5 linked regions of the Sus scrofa genome follow. The protein of the gene in region 4 interacts with the protein of the main gene of each other region in a pairwise test. Links are inferred from orthologs where the notes say so. Each region holds a gene or a part of one and is shown on either strand. Other genes may lie near its edges. The genes, in order: TXLNB, CAMKK2, SMC3, CEP63 and DTNB.

Region 1 (2,617 bases), on a different chromosome or scaffold from region 4:
AAATAACTTAAATTTCAAGTTTATTCTTGGGACTCAATAAAGCTATTTTTATTTTAAACAAAAGAAAAAGCATGACAAAACAGGAAGGCCCTAAGTAGTTCCCTTTCTCCTGAATTGGCTCTGATGCAAATAAATTTGTTCACCACTGACCCAGATGATTCAGAAATAAATCATGACTCTCTCCACTCATTCTTCATTCCTTGGTATTGAATTTTTGTTTCCTTCAGTAGCTGGTAACAAAAGAACTTTTCCTGACATCACATATGGCACCGACAGTTTCTTTGATATATTAACTAATCAGGATTAACATTAAAACATTCTAATTTCTATAGACCACTAAGAAAATGAAGAAGCTGGAAAAAGAAACAGCCACGTGGAAAGCCCGGTTTGAGAACTGTAACAAAGCTCTGTTGGACATGATTGAAGAGGTGAGGAAGCTTTTCCCCTTGCTCTTCTTCCCCTGACTAGTCAATACATTTATACTCAGAAAGCAACTATGGCCTAATAGCACAAATGAGTACCTTTGAAAAAGAGATGAATTTTTCTGGAATGTGCTATATATGATATTGCAATAAAAGTAATTACCACAAAAGACTCATTAAGAGCATTTTAACCCTAAGTCATATGCCTACTTGTTGATTCCAAAGCAGCACCACACCTGCTAGATGAATGTTTTAGCTGTGCTTGAATTTCCCTTGTGCCTAATGCATAACAGGCACAGAGTAAATTAATTAGTTGATTCAAACACAGTGAGAAAAACACCAGCCCAAGCACCCAAAGTATATGTTATTTTATAGACAGATACAGAGATAAATTGCTTAATTCCTCCAACAGTCATTTAAATACTGATATTCTTTCAGGCTCTGGAGGTTTTGAGACTATGAAGGCAAAGATACATGGCCCTTGACCTGAGAGGCAGGGCTTACAGGTGAAGATCTCTCCAGTAAACAAGTGGGGGAAAAAGTCTTAAAAGGTACATAATAGCACAAAGGCAGGGGTGAAGGAGTAAGATGATTAGGAACAATTTCATGCACTAACACACCAACATTTCTAGAGAAAAGGAGAAATGAACAGTTTAAGCAGCATCACGAATGAGTGCATGGTGAGTTTCTCCACTTATAATTACTGTTCTAACAATTCATCCCAAACTGCAACCAATTCCAAAGAGATGTGCTTATTATTCATAAACATAAATCAAACAGTTGCTTGATTAGCATATAGCAATTTATCTCTTGAACAGTTAAGGCACTGCTGACGGCCAAGTCCCAGTCCATCTCAATCATTTTGCCACAAGCTTCTGCTTATGCCTTCTAAGTCTTAAAAGCAGAAAATACATTTTAAGATTTTAGAAGCCTCAGACTGAAACTATCTTTCTTTCCTAAAGAATATGTGAATTAAAATTCTACCCAAAGACTCCAACACAGGGCAAGAGTGATGTCCCTGACCAAGTCCCCGTCCAGCCAACCCCTTGCGGTCAGAGCCTGATAAATTGCAGAGGGCATCCTTGCCATTTTGTTTTTTGTGTCATTTAATGTGCGTGTGCGTGTTTAAATCACAGAAAACATTGAGAGCTAAAGAATACGAATGCTTCGTGATGAAAATCGGAAGGCTAGAAAACCTCTGCCGAGCTTTACAAGAAGAGAGAAATGAACTCTACAAGAAAATCAGAGAAGCGAAAATGCCTGAAAAAGACGACCAAAGTCAGCACACCTCAGACGAGGAGCTAGAGTCAAATACCTTTGTGAGTGAAGAGGTTGATGCCGCTGCAGAGGAAGCCAATAGGGTTCACAATGCCGTGCAGAATCTGGCTGCGGCCTTCATGGTCATTCATCGTCCAGAGTCAACCGTCGACGGGTCTAAAGAAATCCCAGCAGAAGTCGGCGGTCCTCCAGAGGGCGGCAGCACGACCCTCAAGGAGCCGGAACAAGCCCCCCTGAGCCCTCGAGGCCTTTCAGAGAGTCCCCTGCCTCCACCAAGGCCTCAGGCTGAGACCGCGGGAGGACATGAAGCCGAACCTCCCCTCAGGGCCAGGAGTCCCCCAGCTGAGTCAGGAGCAGAGGCCCAAAGCTTCCGGCTCCCGACCGAAGCACAGGTGGATCTGCAGCCCCGGAAGCCGCAGGCAGCAGCTTCCGGTCAGGCGCTGGAGCCGCTCGCTGAGGCCTCGCTCCAGGTGATGGAGGCCGACCATCCTGCTCCACCTCCCGCTGCAGGTGAGCACGTGCCAACCGCTGAGGGGCTGCCAGGAGGGGATACGGCCCTGCCCCAGGGGCCAGAAGTGGCCGACACCAATCTGGAAGGAGTAGATTAAGCCTCGTCTGCCTTCAGAGGCTCTTCTTGACTTTCCATCTTTCACCTGAAAAAGGCATTAAGAGCTAGAGACATCTAATGGAAGAGACTTAATCAGATCAAGACATTTTAAATGTTAAGTAGAGTACAATCAGCCTTTGTTATTTGTTCTCAATTTGTAACTGATTTGGAGTTTTTCTATTTAGTACTGGTTGATGGTATAATTTTCCCAAATGGCAACAAAAAATCCGAGTAGCAACTGTATATTAATTTGCCATTATGATGATACTTAATTCAGTTTCCTAATCAACAGTAAAATTTGGTATTTAAA
Region 2 (3,517 bases), on a different chromosome or scaffold from region 4:
GCATTGGCTTTCGGTTCCCAACTGTACTTTCCTCTCTCTCCCCCCACTGCCAGCCAATGTTATAAAGAGATATAATTTTATTCATTCATAAAATCTCTCTGCTCAGCACTCACTGCTTTCCTGGCATTTCCCTGACGTGGGTGATCAGCACGGAACCGCCACCTTCTGCATCTGTGGATGTACTCCATGAATTCCAGTGGTACCTGTGACATTTGTCCAGCAGAATTTGTCAAACACACGAAGCAAAGGTTAATATTCTGTTCCAGAGACAGAAGGAATTGACAGTCTGAGTGTGTCAATTTTTTGTAATTTACACAAAATTAACCATTTAAACGTGTGCAACTCAATGTCATTTAGTACATTCACAGTGTTGTGCAACCACCACCTTTATCTAGTTCCAGGGTCTTTTCAGCACCCCGAGAGGAGACCCCCCGTGCCCCCTGGCAGTTACTTCCCATTTCCCCTAACACCTCCCCAGTCCTTGGCAACCACTGTACTTTCTGTCTGTGTGGATTTGCCCATTCAAAAATCTCACGTAGCTAGGATCATACACACGTGACCTTTTGTGTCTGGCTTCTTCCACTCAGCAGCATGTTCTTGAAGCTCATGCAGGTTGTAGCCTGTGTCGATTCTTTATTCCTTTTAAGTCATGCTCCATTGTGTGGACAGACCACATTTTCCCATCCATTCATCTATTGTTGGACATGTAGGTTGTTTTTTTCTCTTTTCGGTGTTGTGAGTAGTGCTGTTTGGGTAGATACCAAGGAACACAGTTGCTCAGTCATATGGTAATTCTCTTAGTTATTTGAGGAACCACCAAACTATTTGATGCCAACCTTTTTTTTGGGGGGTGGGGGTGGCATTCATGGCACACGGAAGTTCCAGGGCCAGATATCGAAGCGACACTGCACCGTAGCTGTGGCAACATCAGATCCTTAACCTGCTGTGCCACAAGGGAACTTCCGAAGCTAACCTTTTTTATCTCGTATTTGCTTTTTGTCTAGCAGTAGCTAGCTGGGGCTGAGCTAGGGCAACAGTAGATAACAGATATGTTGAGCCTTCCTCCTCAGACAGCACACACTCCCCTGGCTCACACACTCTCTGGGCGCCTCTTCCTCCTCTGGTGTGACCTCCTGACCCTCACACCTCAGGAATCATTGGCTCCGGGCCAGGCCAGGGGACTGGACTCCTGTGCGCATGGTGTGTGCCTTAGGACAAATCCTTCTCCCTCTCTTGAGTCTCAGTTTCCCCATTTATAAAATGAAGGTATAAGGGCAAACCAACAACCTAGGGCACTTGTGAAATGATCCTGATGTGTGGAAGATATTTTATAAACTGGAAGGTGCTGTCTACATCATTGCTCTTATGAAGAGAGGCAGCCCAGAGGTCATCATGAGGAAGTGTTTCTTTGGCCTGTTTTTTTTTTTTGTTTTTGTTTTTGTTTTTTGTCTTTTTGCCATTTCTTGGGCCACTCCCATGGCATGTGGAGATTCCCAGACTAGGGGTCGAATCTGAGCTGTAGCCAGAGCCACAGCAACGTAGGATCCGAGCGGAATCTGCAACCTACACCACAGCTCACAGCAACGCTGGATCCTTAACCCACTGAGCAAGGCCAGGGACTGAACCCGAAACCTCATGGTTCCTAGTCAGATTCGTTAACCACGGAGCCACGACGGGAACTCCAGGTATTTTAAAATATTTAAAATAATTGCGAATTTTCCAAAAGTTAAGAGATCTCACCCAACATCATCGGTTTAGGACTTCTCTTTAAATAAATAAATAAAAAACATGGGGGAGGTAATCAGACAATTCTAGGCCCAAATTCCTGCTTAGCAACAGTTGGCTTGAGCTGGAAGCCACATTTGTTGGGTGCATGGGTGCTCTAGTTTTTGGGTCTTCTCATACTTGGTTTCTACAGGAATTGAATTTGGATTCTTGTAGTGTATGAGGAGGGGCTTTTTTTTTTTTTTTTTTTTAATTTTTACTTCGTCACCCACAGCATATGTAAGTTCCTGGGCTAGGGGTCCAATCAGAGCTGCAGCTGCCAGCCTACACCACACCACAGCAATGCCAGATCCCAGCTGCCTCTGTGACCTTTTTGCAGCAACTCGGATCCTTAACCCACTGAGCGAGGTCAGGGGTGGAACCTGCGTCCTTGTGGATACTAGTCAGGTTCTTAACCTGCTGAGCCACTTTGGGAACTCCTGTGAAGAAATGTGGAGTAAGCTCATCTCTACAGACTCAGATCAGATTTTATCGTGTTGTAAGGACTCCACTCAAAGCAGGAATGAGGCATCAGGCTTGGCCAGCAGGAGAAACCCCCTACCTTGGCCCTGCCCCACTGGGTGGGGGCAGCTGACCCTTCCTCTCTCTGCAGGTGGCGTGAGCTGCTGGATGGGTGTACCCCCGAGAGTCTGTGTCGCATCAAGTGGGCACATGCACCATGTCATCATGTGTCTCTAGCCAGCCCAGTAGCAACCGGGCCGCCCCCCACGATGAGCTGGGGGGCGGAGGCGGCAGCAGCAGCGAAGGCCGGAAGCCCTGTGAGGCCCTGCGTGGCCTCTCGTCCCTGAGCATCCGCCTGGGCATGGAGTCCTTCATCGTGGTCACAGAGTGTGAGCCGGCCTGTCCTGTGGATCTCAGCCTGACCAGGGACCGGCCCCTGGAGGCAGATGGCGGCGAGGTCCCGCTTGACGCCTCTGTGGCCCAGGCCCGGCCCCTCCTCTCCAGCCGCAAGCTCTCTCTGCAGGAGCGGACCCAGCTGGACGCAAATGGGCGTGGTGTCTGCCCGGCTCTGCCCCACTCGCCCGTGGGCTCCCCGCAGTCCTCACCGCGGCTGCCCCGGCGGCCCACCGTGGAGTCGCACCATGTCTCCATCACCGGGATGCAGGTGCGTGAGCGGCGGCCCCCGGTGCCGTGTCCCTGCGCCTGCCAGAAATGCCTTGGTGTTAGGCTAGGGTCCCTGAGAATTCTAGTGCAAACAGTTGCTTTGGGAGGTGACCCCAGAAAACCCAGAAAGAAGTCAGTAAAGGTGCATGATGGAGCCGGTGGGCAGCTGTGGTGCCACCTCTGGGGAGCCCTGCAGGAGACAGTGTAGGAGGCCAGCCCCAATGTTATTCTACCTGCCGGCAAGGAAGCTCCGCCTTTGACACCAGCTGCTGGCAGTCCCTGGTGAGGGCTTCTGGCTGTGGGTGAGCTGCCTTGAGTGTGGACAGAGCATCTCCCCGTGGAGAGAGCCTCTGGCAAAGGGATGTAGATGCTGGCGCTTGGAAGTTGTGCTAGGGGCTTTGAATTGGGGATGGCAGGTCAGTCACTGCTGAAAACCTGAAAACCGCAGGGCCCCAGTTGCTGAGTGTTTGCCTTCTCAGGCTCCTTATGTGCATCTCTCTCTTGATCCTTACCATGAACTCCTGGAAGATAGGTTGGAACTCAGACCCCCAGCAGGGTTCTCAGGGCCTGGTCCACCCCTTCCCCACCTCCTACCTTTGTGCTGCACAGAGCTCCCACCAGACCCACT
Region 3 (3,975 bases), on a different chromosome or scaffold from region 4:
AGTTATATAAACCAATTGGATAAGATTCATTTAGTATGTCTAAATAAGTAAAACTCTCATCACTGTAAAGAACATCATAAATGTTTGGTCACCATGCTTTCATCTATATACCTCTATAATTTAGGTAAATAGAATAGCCTTATGCATTGTTTCTGCAATTCTAAACATGAAAATGGTTTTATCCTCATTTTATAGGTTAGTAAAGAAGACTTAAAACTTCAATATCAATGTGTCTATGATCCCAGAGTTAGAAATCAACAGTATAGAGATGCTAATCCAGTAAATAGGGCTGGAACTGCCCAAGGGCAGTGGGAGGGGTGGTGAGGAGGGACCAACTTGGTTGGCAAGTAACTTCACAGTGGCCCAATTTCTAATCAAATGGTTTTTTCCCTAGGATTGATATACATCAGCTACACCAACGGTTGCCACTGGCGCCTCTTAGCTTTCAGACTGTTAAAAAAAAAAAGCGGGGTTGGGGGGAACTTTTAATCTTATCTAAATCTTGTTGCTGCAGTTGTCCAATCTGCCTAGATTTATAGCAAATAAAGCAGTAACAGCTCCGGAGGTATTAACCATGACATTATTACAACTAATTTTCCAGCGCCAAGTTTACATGGGGCTGTCCTGCGAGTGGACAGTCTAGAGCCATTGAGAGCCGTTCTAAATTTATAAAAGTCCCCGAGTAAGAGAGAATAATGGAACAGCCGGAATTCAGCTCGCCGAACACCGTCCCGCCCCCGATCCTGCATTCAGCAGGTTTGGGGGAATGGCACGACCCGCGCGCGGCGTTGGTTGGGGGGGGACGGGAGTGGTGTCGTCCCATTTTTATACAGTCGGAGACCACGTGACCTCCGCCCCGCACCGCTACTGGCCCTCCGCCTCTAGCTCTCGGCTTTGGCGCCGAACCTTTCCCCCCTTCTGGCCGCAACCATTATCTCTGAGCTCGGAGGAAATACGGGCCAACCACACGATCGAGGCTTTTCTGAATGAAACTTCCGACAATTTCTCCAGAAAAGTTCAGCTAAAAATTGAGGGATCAAGTGAAATACACCTGAAGACATCGTAGAAGGTTCCTTTTGCCAAAAAGAAAGAACGGACCTAACCCTGATTCCCCCTACGCTCCGTGGGGGTCGCGAGGGTGGTTCCGTCCGAGGCGCGGACTCCGCCTCCGCGGGCGCCGCCATTTTGTTTGGCTGGAGGGGAGCGAGCGGCGCTCTGGGGGGAGGGGTCTCCTAGGCTCCTCACCAGACCCCGCGCCCTCGCTGTTGCTTTTTGCGGCGGAGGCCGTCTCCCCGGCTAGGAGCGCCCGGAACCATGTACATAAAGCAGGTGAGGTCTATGTGTCCCTCCTTTCCCCTGCCACGGGCTCGTGAGGACCGCTCTTTGAGGCGAGGATGTCGCGGCCTTTCACATCTCCCCGCAGGGTGGACGCGGGGCTGGACAGGGAGTGTGGGGGAGGGGAGAGGGCCGACCCACTAGCGCAGGGCCGCGGAGAAGTGGGGCTCCTCCCTGCAGCCCCGGCGGCCCTGCAGGGCGCTCGCCTGAGGGGGGCGGGCTCGGGGAGAGGGGTGGAGGGGCTGGCGGGGCTGTCTTGTTGGAGGCACTAGGTCTTCCCGGGTGGGCCGGGGCGGGAGAGGCCCGGGACGGGAAGAGGCTTCGTCCTGCTGCCCTGGGCAGCTCCGCGAGGGCGTTTAGTGTGTGGTGGTGGTGGTGGTGGTGGGGTCTCCCCAGTCCGGGGGCGCCTCTGGGGGTGTCAGCCTAACTGGGGGTTTGCTCCTCCCCGACTTAGCCAAGGAGTGAGAAGGCTCCTCCTTCCTGCACGGTGCGTAGTGCCTCCTCATTCCGTTGTTTACTTCTGTCAAAATGGTCTTCCCGCGCTGGAGTCCACCGCAAAGATGGACCCATTCACGCTCTGCGAGAAGTTTCTCTTGTCGGATGTGTTGGCCTCAGAGCAGCGGTTCCACGAAAGGGATGCTCATTCTGGCTGGGCCGGAGTGTGGCTGGCAGGGACGCCCAGAAAAGCTGGGGCCGGTCTGCAAGTTTGATGTGCTTTTACTACAGCCTTGTAATGCTTAGTGTTCCTACGGACCTTGGGCTTGATTTTGAGAATTTCCTAACAGGTTATTAATTATCGCTCCTAAAAAAGCAACATTGGCAGTGGTTACTGATTTTTTTTTTAAATCACCGTTTTTCCAAAATGAGTTTTTCTTCTCTGAAATGGAAACTTTATTATCTTGCATTAAATGAGAAACCAGGACGGAAAGGTGTGCAAAAAGGTGTTAGTTTAGAGATTATTCCTGGAGTTCCCGTGGTGACTCAGTGGTTAACTAATCCGACTAGGAACCATGAGGTTGCGGTTCGATCCCTGGCCTTGCTTAGTGGCTTAAGAATCTGGCGTCGCCGTGAGCTGTGAGCTGTGGTGTAGGTTGCAGACGCGGCACGGATCCTGCGTTGCTGTGGCTCTGGCTTGGGCCGGCAGCTACAGCTCCGATTCAACCCCTACCTAGCCTGGGAACCTCCATATGCCACGGGAGCAGCCCTAGGAATGGCAAAAAGACAATAAATAAATAAATAAATAAATAGAAGTTATTCCTTTTGGGGTGTGTTTTGATAAATCCCTTTTTTATTTATCAGGTTATTATCCAGGGATTTCGAAGTTACAGAGATCAAACAATTGTAGACCCCTTCAGTTCAAAACATAATGTTATTGGTAAGTGTTCATGGTTTTACTCGATCAGATTTCAATCTATACAGACATTTAAATTCTGTCTCTATTAGGCTACAGACGACCTGTCTTTGAATATTATGTACACTTATATGTATTTTTTCTCTGTGAAATTACTTTTCTGTCTTTGATTTGCACTGATGAAGTTGCTTTCTTTATACATTTAAAATATTGGATAAGGCAATCATAAATTGCTCATTTTTATTCGGTAGTCATGTTGTGTATTTGTGTGGGAAGATCATAAACTTTGGATCATAACAGAATGGGATTCAAATCCCAATGCTGCCATGTATTCCTCAAACTTCACTCCCTGAGGTGCTTCAGTTTTCTCATTTGTACAGTGGAGATAATGATACACATTTTGTAGGGCTGTTGGGAAAATTAAATGAGAAAGCAGTTGTGTGAGGATAAGTTAATCATGATTGCCTTGCAACGTAATATCTAATCCATAAATTCTTTGGATGATAATGTTCCATTTGGCTGATACAGACAGCAAAAATGTTTTGAAATGAGTGCTTGTAGGCCCCAGAAAAGCATAGAATGTGCTGTTGACAAAGACTTATGCTATGCAGTGTCCTCCTTAAAGAGTATGTTGGTATATTTGTCTGCTTAGTTTACCATAACAAAATATCAGAGACTAGGTGGCTTAAACCACAGGGATTAATTTTTTTACTTTTCTGGAGGCCCTACCCCTCACGCTAATAGGACCTTCTTTGAGCCTCTCCCTCTCATCCCCCCAAAAAGGCCCCATCCTCTTAACCTCACATTTACCTCCCAAAGGCCCCCATCTCCAAAAAGCTTCACATAGGGAGTTAGGGATGCAACATATGAATTTGAGGGGGCGACACAATTCAGTCCATAGCATGGGGTGAGATGAGATTGGTATAGAAATCAATAAAGGGTGAACAGTTAATGCTGATGTTCTCAGAAAAACTTTGAGAATCATACTTTATTTTGAATTAAGTAAATAAATAATAAAAGTTTAAAATTGACGGCAGAGAAGAAACCTGCTCTGGATGTGTCAGTTGCAACCTTGTATTTGGAAATAAAGAAAATATGCTTTTCTCCCTGTCTTACCTACTGAAGAATCATTCATAAATTGGTGTCCCATAAGGGTGGCATGATTGTATTAGAGTTTTACATTTTGACTAAAAGTGCCTTCTAATTATCATCAATCAGAAAATCTTTAGATTTGGAGAAAAATGAGTAATTACTAGACTTATTTCCTTAAATGTATACAGTTGTCCCTT
Region 4 (4,209 bases):
AGTGACTCAGCACATCTTTCCTCAATTTGGCCTCAATCTTTTTTCACCTGTCCCTCTTCCGAACACCTCTAACTCTGTTATCCTTTCCAGCCTTTGCACTCAAAGTTCTTTACCCCATCACTAACACACCCATTTTTCCTTCCAAACTCAAAGCTGGCGTCAGCTCATCAGAACCAACATGCCATTTCCAGAGTTAGGCGCTAAGGTGCCTTCTCTCTTCAGGGGCTGGAAAAAAGGAAAGCACAAGACGGGCAAAGAGGGGCAATGACCAGGAAATGACTACGTCTCAAACACTTGCCTCACTCAACAGAATGAAGCATTACCACTTTCCTGAACAAAGTTTTCTTACACATACGACTGTCCCAATGCCTGGAATGCTCTGTCTTCTTCCTTTTTTCCCCAGCTAACCCCAAACTGTCCAAAAAATTTAGCTCCCAGGTCGTCTTCTGCAGGAGTCGTTCTCTAAGAGCCAGAAGAGCGCAGTCCCCGCCCCTCCGCGGGTCCCATAGTTCTCTGGGCACAGAGAATGATCCCCATCAGGATCTTGGTATATTGCCTGTCACACGGTCTTTCCAGACACGAGACGCCTGCGTTTCCCGGGGGGAGGGCAGTTTTATTCATCTCTGCTTTAGAGCTCTGTGAAACATGCAGTTACATGAGCAAAACTGGGACGCCTTTTCCCTCGCTAGAAATGACCCTCTCGGGCCACCACCGTCCATACAGGCCTGGGAGGCCGCCCCACAGCCACGGCTTCCGGCCCGAGGCGGGATATACCAAATGCGGAAGCGAGGGGGGGGGGTCCGGACAGCCAAGCAAGTTCCCCTCCTCCCCGCCCAACGTGTGGTAAGAGAAGTGGTTAGGAGGGAGAGGATGATGTGAAAACAACGACCTAAGCCAAGAGAAACGGCAGGAGTCCGAACGCGCTCCCGTATCTCCAGACCCTACATTACGTGCGCGCAAACCCTTTTACCAGCCCCAAACCCAGCGTGTCACACACCCCCGCCGACCGCGCCCTCAGCATCACGTGACCCAGACGTCCTTCACTTTCCGATCCCCGGATGTGGGTGAGCCCATTTGCCGGAGCACAGGGGGAGTTAGGGAGGACATTGTTTTAATTAAAAGTGAAGGAGCAGTGGGCAAAACGAACGTGCTGACTGCTGTGGCTGGACGTCAGGTTGGCGGTGCCGCGCGTGCGCACCCCCAGCCGTAGGTAACGGCGGGAAGGCTCGGGGAGCGCTCGCGGCAGCCCTTAACCGCATTGCGAACGTCGGACGGGCGAGGGGCGGCCGTCTCTGGGCCTGGAGGTAGCCCTGGCTGCGGTGGGGCCGCGGGCCGAGCGGCCGAATGGCCTGGGGCCTGCTTCCTCAGCCGCCCGCTGGCCTCCAGGCCCGCCCCCGCCGGCCCGGCTCCGCCCCGGCGCCCCGCCCCCCGGCCTTTTCGCTGACGCCCGGCTGACCCGCGAAGCCGGATATGGCCTCCCTCGGCGTGCGGTCCCGGCCAGCCAGGTGGTCAGCTCTTACCTAGAGACCGGGCCGGCGGGAGGGCGGCGGGGTGGGCGAGCTGCTCGTCTTCCCGGAGCGGAGTTAGCCGCGGGCCACTCTTCCACTTCAGGGGAGGGATCCTCGGCAAGGCCCTCTCGCCTGGGCTGCCTCATCTGGTTAGCTTCTTAGCATTGTTGCGACTTAGGTCATTGATGGCAGGTGATAGCGGTTCATTCACGGGTGGGAAGTTTAGCAAGTTTTAAAAAGTGAGTTGGTTAAAAACGTATTGGAGGTACAGAAATGTGGCAGAAAACATGAAGGACTCAATTGGGGAACCCTGGACTTAGGGATCCATACAAATCAGGGATGGGAAATAAATGATAAATTGAGGAAATAAAAGGTATAGGTCCTTAGAACACTTTAATCATCAAGATACTTTAAGGCGGTAAATCTAGGCTTATAATGAGGTTTTTCTTATGCTTCTTGAAACAGTAAAGATGAGTCCGCTGTCAGCGACTACTCTTCCTTTGCAATTACAGTACATTTCTTTGCACAAAGTAGTTTTCCTTGAGCCTTACAGACAGTTCCTTAAACCAGTCTTTAAGAATTTTTTCTTCTTTTAATAAAGCAGTATTGTAGGGTTAGTGCCCTGTGGTAATAGTTTCCCACATGCGTGCATTTAATTTTCTAGACATGAAGAGGAAATCAAGGATTATTAACTACATGCTACCTTCGAATATTTATATTTATACTGATCACAACTGTAGCTTAATTATATAATAAAGTGTATGTGTTTTATTTTGAATACCGTATCCTTTTTTTTTTTTTTTTGTCTTTTTGCTATTTCTTGGGCCGCTCCTGCGGCATATGGAGGTTCCCAGGCTAGGGGTTGAATCGGAGCTGTAGCCACCTGCCTACGCCAGAGCCACAGCAACGCGGGATCCGAGCCGCGTCTGCAACCTACACCACAGCTCATGGCAAAGCCGGATCGTTAACCCACTGAGCAAGGGCAGGGACCGAACCCGCAACCTCATGGTTCCTAGTCGGATTCGTTAACCACTGTGCCACGAGGGGAACTCCCCATATCATTTTTAGATGGATTTTTATTCTGCCTTTTGATTATATCATTATCAGTGATTAGTAAGAAAGACAAATTAAAACGGGTTAGACATTTATAAACTTTCACTTTAAAATGAACTGCACTTTAAAATGTATGTTGATTCAGTTTTTAAAATTATTTCTAGTAATTGTGTATATTAATAGTACTGAAGCCACTCTTCTCCCATTAAAGGTAGAACACTCTTGCTTGATCCTACCTGTTCTTACTTGTGTACTAGTGGTGGTAGGTGGTGACAGCATCAGTAGTAGTCCACTTTATCAGAACTTCCTACTTTTAAATGTATATTAACTTGATTTGAAATTCACCTAAAGCCAGCGTTGACATATGTTTCAGGAATTGAATTTTTGGTCTTTATGGTATTTTAGGCTTTCTTCCTTCAATAATTAGTGTTTTCAGTTTTACAAAATTGTATTACTGTCATCACATCTATGACAATTAGTAAAATACCCGAAATGTCAATATTTAGTCTGAGTTTGGATTTCCCCAATTGTCCCAAATACGTGTTTTTACAGTTAGCTTGTTTGGATCAAAGTCCTTTAGAGACCCATTTGTTGCATTGGGTTGATACACCTTTTAGAAGTTTTTTATATGGCAGTTTTGTTGCCTCCCTTATTTCCCTTAACATTCTAGATTTAGTTGATTGCATCCACATAGTATCCTTTAACTTATATATCTATTCCCTTTATCACCTTTAAACTGGTAGTAAGGTCTAGAATTGCCCTGTCTAATATAGCAGGCACCAGCCAGCTATGGCTGTCTAAATGAATTAAAATAGGAAAAAACCCCAAAAATTTCAGTTCCCTAGTTGCATTGGCCACATTTCAAGTGCATGATAGTCACAGATGCCTAATGGCTACTATTTGAATTGTATATATAAAGATTTCCATAATTGCATAAAGGTCTTTTGAACAGTACTGATCTAGAAACTCGATCAGATTCAGCCTTGACTCTTTGGGAAGGGTGAGGGTGGGGCAAGATTTCATAGTTGGTGCAAAACAGTAATGTCCAAGTTTTTTCTCTTTGGTGTTACAACTGGGCAGCTATGGGGGTTCAGGTGTTGTCAGTCCAGTTTATCCATGATGAAATTCCCTGTGAACCTTTCACTTAATGGTGAGATCCTGTCCTGGATTTAGATTGCTTATATCCATTATTGCATTAGAGTTTGCAATATGGTGATTCTTTGATTCTATCCTCAGTATTTAATTAGCTGGAAATTTTTTGTGAAGAAGAACTTTTTACTTCAGCAAGCTATTTGACTACCCCGCCAGCTGTTTGCAATACAGTTTGTATAGGAAAGACAAGAAAAATGCTGAATTCTTTCCCTCTATTTCCAGAGTACAGTAATGAGTTGGTGGCCTAGCAATCTCCAAAGGTAACCATGAGCGTTTTGCCTTTTTTTTAAAAAAATCATCATGAACTTACAGACTTGAATATATTTAAACTGTTTCAACCTAGTGCGGGTTTTGGGGGGGGGTTGGGTACTTAACTTGTCCTGTTGTTGGCCAGTAGTAGCCTGAATAAGTTGTCTTTTGTCCACTTTGAGAGTTTCCTTATTGTTGAGTAAAAGGTGTTATTGGCTTATTTGTATATTTCCGACCACTAAGAAGC
Region 5 (3,517 bases), on a different chromosome or scaffold from region 4:
TTTTTTTTTTGGCCATGCCTGCCACATGAGAAGTCCCCAAGCCAAGGATCAAACCAAGCCACAGCCATGACCCAAGCCACAGCACTGACAATGCTGAATCCTTAACCTGCCTAGCCACCAGGGAACTCCCAGGTGGGCACTTGTGAAGAATTCATGACCGAGCTGACCTGGCAGCCACATTCACCTCTCCCTCGAGCTGCTCCCTGCCCTCCCCAGCTGTCTGTCCGGCTGCATCCTGACCAATGCTTCTGCTCCACTGGGCACCCTTCCTGCTTTGCATCTGCTCCCTCGCGTGGTCGGTACGGATAACCAAGACTCCGTAGATGAAACATGGGCTAGCCTGCCTTCCCCCCCAGATTACTCCAGAGCCCTAAATTCATCTCAGCTACTCCAGAGCCTCATGTTGTATGCCTGTGTCCTTCAAAATCACCTCCCCCACAGCCTGCCACCACAGTGTCAGGAGCTGTAAATCCGCTTGGCACGCTTCAGGCTGGTGCGTGTCTGGTAGACTGACAGCAGCGGTCCTTGGTGAAAAGAGAGCAGGCTTTGGAGGGTCCAGGCAGTGGTTCAGGATTCCAGGGTGAGCCCGACTATGATTTAGTATCCCAAGCAGATAGGGAAATTGTGCTCTTATCAAAGTTTAAATCATTTTCACCTTGTTCGTGTGCAGAACCCGATGGGCGGAGCCCCCAATAGAACTGCTCCCTAGATTTAAGGTGGATTCCTTTCCATGTTAGTCTTATTTTTTTCCTCTTCCTGAGAGCCACTTGTCTCCAAGGCTGTTTTATGTCAGTTGCAGCTGCTGGTTGTAGGAAGTCTGACTCCCCTGTTTCATACCTGGTCGGGGAAAAGTGGACCAATGAGGAACAAAGGGGAGAGGCCAGGCCAGGCCAGGAGCCCCCAGGGCAGGGAACCCCTAGGAGAAGAGGCGGGGGGTGAGGAGACCCCGGCTGTGACCTCGGTGTGTTGTTTGTGTCTGTTGCACACAGGTTAGCGGAGGAGCCGGGACAGAGAGGAAGCGAGGTGAGTAGTGTCTCTGCCGGCCCCCAGAGCCCCTTCCCCACCCGCCTTTCCTCGGTCATGCTTCTTAAGCCAGAGCCACCCCAGCACATGAGATGCAAGTTGGGGTTTCCTCTAGGAGCCCCGCTGCACCTCTTCTCTTGTACGGCCCTGCTGGTGTACCTGCTTGCCCCAGTTTCCCGGCCGGATCTGTCTTGCACTGCCCTGGGCCTGGGCCGCAGGCAGGCCCTCGTGTCCCCTGTGTCTGCATACAGGCGGCAGACCAGACACTGCTGGCTGGAACAGGCCCTGGGAGCAGGCGCCAGAGCTCACCTCCCAGGACGGCTCTGCCTCCTTGCTCCTGATTTCCCACCGCCACTGTCATGTCATTTCTCTCTGGGGTTCCAAACCACAGCCAGCAAGCACACCCCTGAGGTTCTGTCACCCAGAGTTGGAACCCACCACGTGTTTCTGTCACACAGGATTCATAAAGCTGACCAAGCCATTTCCCATGACGCCTGGCCAAGCTGCACTGTTTCTTCACCTCCTAAAAAATTTTAATAACAGTACAGATTTCCCCGCAGGCCAATGCCCATTGCCATTAGGAATTAATCTTTCGCGTTTTTCCATCTGAGGACCTTAACTCTTAACGGGTCCCAGTTCCAAGGCAGTGCAGCTTTGGCACAGGCGCCCCGGAAGGATGGGAATGGATGGGAATAAGGGGACAGCGCGTCCGTTCAGGAGGAGTTCTTTCCAGGCTAGATGCCTTGATGCGGCCATAAGAGTCTTCCCTCCCTCCCCCATCTCCTGTGTTTAAAGTTAGGCCTCGGTTACAGATCTTACAGGCAGAAAAGCCAGGGCTGCAGCCCATGATCCAGAAAAGGAACTTTCTCAGGCCCTTCTGAGGCGTCTCCCCCTGGAGCAGCCTCCCGCCTTTTCCTGACACCCCCGCCCCCCGGCTGCACCAGGCCCTGGGTTCTGTCCTGCTCGCTCTCTGGGGCCTGCTGTCTCTGAGCCCCCACTGACTCCGGGATCGTGCAGGCTAAGGATGGGCAGCCCCGAGCTGCAGGAATCCCCTCCCTGCCCTGGGAATCCCGGAGCCCCCGAGGCCCCAGGGCAGGCTTTTGCCTGAGCTCACTGCGCATGCGGACAAGGCCCTTCCTGACAGCAGGCCTGGCTGCCTCTGCCAGCAAGCGAGTCCGTAGCTGACTTGCGCTGGGGGAGCCTGCCAGAGCCCCTCTTCCCGGGGCACAGAGGTCCTGGGGGACAAGGAAGCCATCAGGCCCGCCCCCACTTCATGCACACAAGGAAGCTAAGGCCCACTACCCAGGAGCTTGGAGCCAGAACTGGCATCGGAGCTGGAGCTTCTGCTCCTAGTGCTGTCCTCGGACCCCTCAGGAGTTATGAGAAACTCTGCAGCAGCGGAGAATGAAAAGCATAAACGCTCAGGTGGGGCAGTTTCACGGACCCTTGCCTTCTGCTCCTCTGAGGCCGTGAGGCTCAGGCTTTCCCTCCCTCTACGCAGCGCTTTGCGGCACATCCCCGACCTCTTCGCCCTTCTCAGTCACAGTTCTTCCCCTGAGCCTCCCGCATTCCAAAACCTTGCACTGTGAACACCCTTCTTTCTTCCCTGGAAACGCTTCCTGACCCTGTGACCTAAGCAAGCACTCCAAAGACTCGAGGTACCCCCAGAAAAAGGAAGCCCCCTTTCCCTAAAAGGGGGTGTGAGTATTGTCAGCCCTTTGCATGTTGAAAGTTGAAAGGTGCGCATTCCAGCAGCACCAACGTTGCACGTTTGTCTTGTTCCCGGCAGATGTTAGCAGCCTTTGCTCGGAGACCCTCAGCAGTGCCTGTGAGTCACAGTGCGTCTGTCCTGCACAGGCACGGGGGACGTGGAGCGAGCTGGCACCAACACAAGGAAGGCGAGGTCCTCCCCCAGAGGCGAATTCCTGTCCATCTTTCCACGGCACACCTGGACCAGGCCTGCGGGCTGCCAGACGTCACCACCCGCCAGGCAGAGGGGAGCCCGAGCCCCTGGGAAGTGGGAGGGGCGCGCCCCCCTCCTGGCACAGCCCTGCATGAACTAGCATCTTCATCACTCCCTTCCGGGCATGGTCTCATCTCTGCAACAGGGAATTTACTGGAGATTGAAAAGAGAAAAGAAACAGCACGACTCTCCTGTGTGTGTGACCTGATGGAGTTCTTGCTGGCATCTCGCCAGCATGCGCGTTGTCCCCCAGGGTGAGGGCACAAGTTTTCTCCCGACCTTTGACCTTTAAAAGCCAACAGGTTTTCTTCCCTCTGTCGTGCAAAGACAGCTTCAGGCCCTGCTCAGTTCAACAAACGTTCACACCCTGGCCACAGTGCTAAAAATAGCCTCCTTCCTTTCTCTCTCACTGCTTAGGCTTCCGCCCCGGTCGGTGCCGCCGCTCAGCAGCCCAGGCGGGAAGCGGGAGCAGAGAGAGCTCTGCCCTGCAGCCCCTGCTACGGCCTCCTCCCGCCGCGGCTGGAGAGGGGA

Evidence for each region.
Region 1: the proteins of CEP63 (region 4) and TXLNB interact in binary tests that used the Homo sapiens proteins (3 or more experiments, as listed by UniProt). The two-hybrid records come from large-scale screens. The link is inferred for Sus scrofa from reciprocal best matches to the Homo sapiens genes CEP63 and TXLNB.
Region 2: the proteins of CEP63 (region 4) and CAMKK2 interact in a two-hybrid assay, tested with the Homo sapiens proteins (2 studies listed by BioGRID and IntAct). The link is inferred for Sus scrofa from reciprocal best matches to the Homo sapiens genes CEP63 and CAMKK2.
Region 3: the proteins of CEP63 (region 4) and SMC3 interact in a two-hybrid assay, tested with the Homo sapiens proteins (2 studies listed by BioGRID and IntAct). The link is inferred for Sus scrofa from reciprocal best matches to the Homo sapiens genes CEP63 and SMC3.
Region 5: the proteins of CEP63 (region 4) and DTNB interact in binary tests that used the Homo sapiens proteins (3 or more experiments, as listed by UniProt). The two-hybrid records come from large-scale screens. The link is inferred for Sus scrofa from reciprocal best matches to the Homo sapiens genes CEP63 and DTNB.

Annotation. Positions count from the first base shown.
Region 1 is NC_010443.5:25,280,586-25,283,202, forward strand, and holds part of TXLNB (beta-taxilin), read left to right. Parts: intron 1-332; coding exon 333-428; intron 429-1,558; coding exon 1,559-2,308; 3' UTR 2,309-2,617. UniProt on the Homo sapiens protein: Promotes motor nerve regeneration. May be involved in intracellular vesicle traffic.
Region 2 is NC_010456.5:31,327,917-31,331,433, forward strand, and holds part of CAMKK2 (calcium/calmodulin-dependent protein kinase kinase 2), read left to right. Parts: intron 1-106; exon of another isoform or gene 107-248; intron 249-2,377; 5' UTR 2,378-2,443; coding exon 2,444-2,890; intron 2,891-3,517. UniProt on the Homo sapiens protein: Calcium/calmodulin-dependent protein kinase belonging to a proposed calcium-triggered signaling cascade involved in a number of cellular processes. Isoform 1, isoform 2 and isoform 3 phosphorylate CAMK1 and CAMK4. Isoform 3 phosphorylates CAMK1D.
Region 3 is NC_010456.5:120,968,462-120,972,436, forward strand, and holds the start of SMC3 (structural maintenance of chromosomes protein 3), read left to right. Parts: upstream 1-1,167; 5' UTR 1,168-1,314; coding exon 1,315-1,329; intron 1,330-2,634; coding exon 2,635-2,710; intron 2,711-3,975. UniProt on the Homo sapiens protein: Central component of cohesin, a complex required for chromosome cohesion during the cell cycle. The cohesin complex may form a large proteinaceous ring within which sister chromatids can be trapped.
Region 4 is NC_010455.5:75,604,643-75,608,851, forward strand, and holds the start of CEP63 (centrosomal protein of 63 kDa), read left to right. Parts: upstream 1-1,398; 5' UTR 1,399-1,470; coding exon 1,471-1,505; intron 1,506-1,538; exon of another isoform or gene 1,539-1,657; intron 1,658-3,935; exon of another isoform or gene 3,936-3,944; coding exon of another isoform or gene 3,945-3,973; intron 3,974-4,209. UniProt on the Homo sapiens protein: Required for normal spindle assembly.
Region 5 is NC_010445.4:113,473,650-113,477,166, forward strand, and holds the end of DTNB (dystrobrevin beta), read left to right. Parts: intron 1-989; coding exon 990-1,023; intron 1,024-2,812; coding exon 2,813-3,244; 3' UTR 3,245-3,360; downstream 3,361-3,517.